Linked DNA regions of Sus scrofa. The protein of the gene in region 2 interacts with the protein of the main gene of each other region in a pairwise test. Links are inferred from orthologs where the notes say so. Each region holds a gene or a part of one and is shown on either strand. Other genes may lie near its edges.

What was found.
Region 1: the proteins of TTC23 (region 2) and CREBZF interact in binary tests that used the Homo sapiens proteins (3 or more experiments, as listed by UniProt). The two-hybrid records come from large-scale screens. The link is inferred for Sus scrofa from reciprocal best matches to the Homo sapiens genes TTC23 and CREBZF.

Annotation. Positions count from the first base shown.
Region 1 is NC_010451.4:19,592,628-19,596,378, forward strand, and holds the start of CREBZF (CREB/ATF bZIP transcription factor), read right to left. Parts: upstream 2,488-3,751; 5' UTR 2,175-2,487; coding exon 1,114-2,174; coding exon of another isoform or gene 1,110-1,113; exon of another isoform or gene 897-1,109; coding exon 881-896; 3' UTR 819-880; intron 1-818.
Region 2 is NC_010443.5:137,966,088-137,969,738, forward strand, and holds part of TTC23 (tetratricopeptide repeat protein 23), read right to left. Parts: intron 1,380-3,651; coding exon 1,229-1,379; intron 1,074-1,228; coding exon 948-1,073; intron 1-947. UniProt on the Homo sapiens protein: Participates positively in the ciliary Hedgehog (Hh) signaling.

The DNA.
Region 1 (3,751 bases), on a different chromosome or scaffold from region 2:
AAGATTCTTTGTGAAACCTCACTTTACACGTTTTCATTCACATTTCATAACCGTCAATAGCTAATCATACATAAATTTAACCTAAAATTTTAGTACAACAAAAATAAAGGTGTTCAACAATTTATTCATACTCAGTGATAGGATAATCACTGTGCTGGTCCTCAAAGAGACATTCCATTGACCATGCTTATTCCCCCTTCAATTAACCAACACAGGAGTCTGATGTGCACATTAATTTCCAATTTCTCTAATGGTGATATAAAAACCTATAATCTGAATAGACTGTATGTCTAGACCTAAGAAAACTAAAAGGCATTCTTGATTATTCAAGAGATTTCTGTTATCTCCGGCAAAATAACTATCACATTTGTGCATGCCCCAAGTACTTATTGTCAACCTCTGAAAAGTTGCTCTAAAATTGGAATTCCAATTTGCACCTTGTACAACTCGGAACTTCCATTCAACTTCACCTGTGTCACTGTCTCCAAACTGTATCTCTATTAGCAGCTTTCAGTGTACAGTTGGAACCGATGTCATCCAAGGCCATGTCCACACTGGGGACAGAAGAGCTAGGTACACGCAAGTCTGAACAAGGGGACACATTAACAGCTATTTCAACCAGAAGAAGCATCTTGAATACATTACTGACCAGCACAAGTCTGTTTCCAGGGTGGACAGGGCCCAAATTAGATTCCCCTCCCACCTTCCAAAAAAGAAAAAAAAAAAAAATCACACACACACACACGAATTGAGATGTTGCCCATTAAAGTAGACTAAGCAGCAGAGCATGAGCGTTACGTGAAGAGATGGATCCTTACCAGGTTGTGAGGCGGGAACGACTGTTCTGTAACCCCTACAACGGAGCCTGGCAGGAAGGAAATCACCTAAAAAAGAAACTGTCAGAGAGATTTAATAGTCACATGTTATCATTAGGAGTTGGTTACAGTGTCACATTCATGCTTTTAGCTAAACACTTAAAGATTCAATATTACTTTTTTTTTTTTTTCCTCCTCTGAAATGTGTCCAGTGAAGATGTCCCACTAAGGTGTTTTACATGGTGTAAGGGAGTTGAAAGGGGTAAACGCGGATAAAGAGCAGATTACTTGACCCTACATTTTAAGAGAAGACGACGCCTTCCGGGCGCACGCTGAGCAGAACTCCACCGACACCTTATCCTTGTCCACATGAAGACACACTCCTCCGGCTGAGTCGTCCTCTTCCAGCAGGTCCTGCTGCTGCTTTCCCACCGGCAGCGCGTAGTCATGGTCCCCGGCGGGCGAGTCTCTGAAGAGCGAGGTGGTCAGCCGCAGTCCCACGCCGCTCAGCCGGCTCAGCAAGCGAGCCAGTCCGGTCTCGTTGGCTAAGACGGCCCGTAGGTAGCGACTCTCCTCCTGCAGTGCTTGGACGCGCTTGCCCAGCTCCCGATTCTCGGCCCGCAGCTCCTGGTTCTCGGCTGCCAGACCCCGGACTCGGCTCTCCAGCCCCATCACGTACTCCTTCTTCTTCAGCCGATTCAGACGAGCGGCCGCCGCCGCCGCCTTCCGGGGACTCTTTGTCGCCGCCTGGTTGTTGTCGTTGCCGCCGCTGCTGCCGCCGCCGCCTCCGGGGGACTTTCTCCGCCTCTTTTCGCCGCCGCCAGTGTCACTGCCGCTGCTGCAGCCGCCGATGCCGTTTAGCAGCCTCTGCAGCAGGTCAGAAAAGCGCTGCATCTCAGCGGCCGCGGCCTCGTCGTCGTCGTCCCCTCGCCACAGGCCACCGCTCTCCGAGCCTCCGCCGGACGAGGAGAGAGGCCCGGGCGAGCTGAGCCCGGGCTCCAGGTGCCAGTCTGGCTGCCGGGGGTCCAGCAGATCCGCCAGTTCCAGCCCGGACAGAAAGTCCATGTCCTCCGTTTCGTCCCCGGGGACGCTGGCGACCGCCTCCTCCTCCATCTCCTCGGGCGAGGGCGCGCGCACGGCCACGCCGCCGCGGCCCCCCCTCCCGGCCTCCGACTCGCCCTCGTTTCCGCGAGGCTGTTTGCGGCCAGGAGATCCGGCCGCCGCCGTCCCCTCGTCCTCCGCCGCCGCCCGGCTCAGGTCCGGGGGCAGCGAGAAGGTCGCGGCCGGCGCCGGGCTCTCGCTGCGGGTTGGGGAGTCGCTGCCCGAGGCCGCCAGCAGTTTGGTCAGGCTATGCCTCATGGGGCCCGGCAGCGGGCCCACGTAGGCCCCGGCCCCTCAGACCGGGCCTCGCGGGTCCCAAGGACCCAGAGCAGGTTGCCGGGGTGCAGGCCAGAACGAAGTGAAGGGGAAGGTCGGAGTCACCTCCCGCCCCCACTTGGCTGGTCGACCCCCCGCGCTGCGGCGGGGGGGGAGGGACGGGAGATCGGAGCGGCGAGGCCCAACGATGACTCGACCGCGCCACCCAGACAACGGCCTGGCCGGAAGTCGGTCGATCTCGGCCCGGCCCCTCCCACCACATTTCCCGCTCCACCAGGGCCTGGTATCGCGAGAGTTCTGTGAGGTCGAGAGTAGGAGTAACTCCAGATTTCCAGTGATGTCATAGTAACAGAGGCAAAAATAACAACAAACCTAGGATTTATCTAAGGAGTGGCCACTCCTCTGGGCCCTCAAGTCTCAGTCCCTGTATTCTAGCTTCCATCTGCAGTAAAACCACTGTCATTCGAAATGATCTTTTAGATACACCAAATTTATGAATTTAAAATTATCCTGATGATCAGATTCTTCTTGAAAATTATTCTTTTCTCCTTTCGTTATAACATGTGATTTTTTTCAAACACAGAATACTGGAAGAAAAGAGAGGTAAATAAGTCTTTCATATATAATTTAATTTTTCCAAGTTTTTATTTTAAAAATTTCCAAATATACAATATGTGAATATGTATGTAAAAGAATATTGCAGTATATACTCTAATTGAACACTACTACCCAATACTCAGACTTAACAGTTCAACAATTGTCCTTTTGTCAAATGTGCTTTATCTGTATGTAAAGGTTGGTAAAAACAATTTTTCTTTTTTGCAGAATCATCCCAAAGTTGCAGATAAGACATACTCCCAGAATTTCATACTTTCTCAGAATTTTTCATCTATATTTGAACATTAATTCTTCCAGATAACTTTATAACATTTTCCAAGTTCAAAAATAAGCTGGAATTTTCGTGGAAGTTGCATTAAATTTATTAATTTATTTTTCCCAGTTACTTTATGCATTTTTTGCTACTAGACTAGATTATTTCTTCTTTTATATTTTCTAAATGGTTATCATTGCTACATAGGAAAGCTGTTGATTTTTTTTGTTAAATTCTTAACTGATTCACCCACTGAACTTCCTTGATAGTTTTTATTTTTAGCTTATTCATTCAAATTTCCCTGGTAGACAATCATATCACCTTATTGTACATAATGACAATTTTGCCATCTTCTTTGCAATACTCACTTCATTGTACTGACTAATAATGAAATAGCACTTCCAAATTGATGTTAAATAATGCTTTTAATAACTAACTTCTGTGTCTTATTCCTAACTTGAACAGGAACACCTGTAGTGTCTAGCTGTTGATTTGAGATGGATGTTCTTACCAGGTTATACTCAGTTGTAGGAAATAGAAACCAATTCAAGTATTTTAAGCAGAAAAAGATGTAATGGAGAGAAGGTGCTTACAAAGTAACTGGAAGAACTAGAGGAGGGGCATTAGGCTGGGTGATCAAGAATGCCTCTCAGTATAGGGTGGCCAAACAGGCCTGACAGGGAGCAGC
Region 2 (3,651 bases):
TACATAGGCTGATGAATTATCTGCCCTTCAATTAATAAGAGTGGGCTTATGATTACCAAACATCTTTTAACACCATGAAGCAAAGTTAGTCCTCCCCAGTCTCTATTCACATGGAAGCCCTGGGTGCATCCTCTCAGGGCCCTTTTCTTCTGAAAATGACTTTAGTGGGTCCCCAAGTTCTCTTGGGAATCAATCCATGCATGCAGTCTGATTCTTAAGTTACACTCAATTCTTCCAGCTTTGGTTAAGGGACGCCATGCTGGTCTGCTGGGGATTCTTTGTGTTTCCTAGAATAGACTTTTCTCTGCCCTCTTCCTCCCACAAACACACCCTTCCTAAGAGTGTGCACAGACTCTGTCACTCCACTGCTGTGGGGAATTGGCTTGGGCGGGGGGACCTCTGGGGAAGGATAAATGTGATGACACTTGAGGCCCACCCCCCTCTCCCCAGGCTCCAAGCATGGTATCTCTTCCATCTGAGTTTACCTGGTGAGTGTGGGGTGGGGGTAGGAAAAACAAGGAACAATCCTCTCATCCTCATGGATTCAGATACCTTTAGGATCTTTCTCCTTTGAGGCCCTAATCTTAAGATTAGTGTATTGAAATATTTCAGAATAGAGTGGGAGTGGGGGGGAGGGAAGGGAACGGAAGTAGGAGGAGAGGCAAGGAGCTCAGGCAAGAAGCAGAAAGTTAAGCAAACGACATGAGAACTCTAGGACTGGGTGGATATGAGAGCTCTACATGTTTATGGAGCAGTGCCACTGACACATGTGTCTTACTTATGGCAGCTCTGACATGACCATCGTCCTCCCTTTCATACTCCTGGACAATGGCCATGGAGAGTCCATGGACACAGCATGGTGAAGCTCCTCCTGCCTGAAGACAGATTCTTCTGGCAAGGAACTCCCAGGCATCACATATACAAAAAGTCCTAAACTGGAAACTCACTGTGCAAATGACAATTTGATCCGCGCTTGAATTTCCATCCATTCTTCCTTTATAATCCTTCCACACTGCAGCAGCTCTTTCGAAATCCTTTCAGCTTTTGTCAAATTTTCTGAAGCTTCCTTAAATCTGAGTTGTGTTCAGGAAACTTGACACTTGGTGCTACCTTCTGGGGCCTCGGTTCCAGGACACTCTTGGCTCTCATACTCCCCACCACCCTTCCTGGGTCACCTGTCACCTTTCGATTTCACCTTGAAAATTAGTGCTGAGAGGCAAAAGGATACTTTTGAAGGGAGAGTAAGGCTCTCCCCATGGTATGGAACAGCTCAACCGAACACTTGAAAACATCTGTATTGTCACTGTAGGCAGGCATGATGAAGTTGGTGAGTATTTCTTTGGCTTTTTCTGCATGTTGTTTTGCTTGCAGTGACAGTCCTGTGGACCAAGAGAAAGAAGTCTCAGTTGTGCTTTCATTTCAGCTGGTCAGGAATGCAGTTATCTATGGCCAGGGAATCGAATGAGGTCTCCTTTCTAGATCATCAGCTGGCACATGGAGATATATCGGGGCAGCCTGAAATACTGTCATGACTGTAAGAAACAAATAAGTGTTTGATAGCTAGTACTCAAGACAAATTTGGGGGTGAGGGGTAAAATTTCTGAATTTTCTACTTACCCATCCATAATCAAAACTTTATTTTTTTCTTGTCTTTTTGTCTCTTCAGGGCTGCACCCACAACATAGGAGGTTCCCAGGCTAGGGGCTGAATCAGAGCTGTAGCTGCTGACCTACACCACAGCCACAGCGGATCTGGGCTGCATCTGTGATCTACATTGCAGCTCACGGCAGCGCCGGATCCTTAACCCACTGAGCAAGGCTAGGGATTGAACCTGTGTCCTTATGGATACTAGTCAGGTTCGTTAAGCACTGTGCCACAACAGGAACTCCTAATCATAACTTTAGAGAAGTATTTTTACATAATACAAATACGATGACATCTATAAAAACTAACAAACACAATTCCAATGAGGCAAGGGGCTAATGTGCTATAACCTCTTATTTCTAAGTGGTAATAGACTAATATGAAAGAAATGGAGCTTAAAAAAAAGTTACTACCAAGAATGAATTCCCAATGTGTCCCAGCATTCCTGCCTCCCATCCTCTTCCCCACTGACACACACTTCCACCCATATCCTAATACTCCTGGTCTTCCATTCTTCACTACCTGGAATTGTATCTCAAATTTCTAAAAAAAAAAAAAAAAGAAAAAAAGAAAAGCTATCAAAATATGAAGTTCATTCTGTTCCTAAGTCTATAAAAGAGAAAATATTTTCTGATTGAGAAAATCCAGGGTATGCTATTCCTATAGGAACCCTTACAAAATTCTGTCTTATTTTTTTTAAGCACACAGTCTACCTACCAGAAATTAATAAGTGCCAATACTGTAGGCAATATTATAAAAGTCTTTATGAATTTTAGTCTACTTCCTCAAGGAACTTGAACTCGGTCTACTAGAGGCAGCGTGGATTGAGGTTCAAGAACACCAGCTCTGAAATCAGACTGCCCAGAATGAATTCTCTCTCCCACCACTTACACTGAAATGTTGCCCTCAGCTTCCTTGACTGGAAACAGGGGTAATAATATTACCCACCTAATAACACTGTAATGAAGACTGAGTAAAATTACATATGGAAAATAGCATGGTGCCTGACACTCAATAAGGCCATAAATAGTATATACTGCTTTTACTTTAAGAAAAAAAGACTGTCATGCAGAAAGGTATCAGACTGTGGAAGAAAAACATATGCCAGGACACTGGTACTGACATCCAAAATCCTAGGTCTGAGACTTAGATCAGCTATCTATTAAACAGCATGACCTGGAGCAAGCTACTCAACCCAAACTCACTCACTGCTTCCTCTGAATCTAGAGAATAGAGGGATGGGGGTAGGGTTTGAACTAGCTGATCTCCAGGGTCCCCTCTGGCTCTATGAGTCTTTGATCCAACAGGGAAGTCTAGTACAGATTTGGTTAAATTTATTGGGTGGCAATTGCATGCTTAGATTTGTGGTGTTTTCCACTTCTATTCATTTATTTATTCTTTGGGCCAATCCTGAGAAATCAGTACCATCATTATCAGTATCATCACTTTTCAGCTAAAGAAACAGAGTACAGAGATGTACTCTTGCACATCTTGTCTTAGGTTGCCAGTCCATGTTTTTTCCCTCTCTGCATCCATTCTCCTTCCTCTGTTTTCCTTGGAGGATGCCCAGCCCCTACACCCCAAGTCCATGTGATTTAGCCAAGGCCAGCCTCTCCCCCAGGATCCAGTGGAGCCAGACTATCCCTTGCCTTTAGCATACAACTCAATTCAGCCCAATAAGAATCCTCAAAGCCTGAGATTTTGCCCACATGGTGGCAACCTTGCTGCCACCATGTGGGCAAAGTCTGGCCAAGAATGGGGCCAATAAAGAGAAAAACAGAACAAAGTGCTGGGAAAAGAGAGGAGCAGAAATCTGATCACATTGTTTAGAAGTATGGATCTGGCTAAGTTTACAGAAAGTTTTAACCTTGGATTTTTAAGTTGTATGGCCCAGTAAATTACCTTTTGTTTATCGCCAGCTTGATTTAGCCTTGATTTTTTTTTTTTGAGGCAGATGTCACTTATAGGCCAGAGACTTTCTGTCAATACAAAGGTGAATGGATCCTA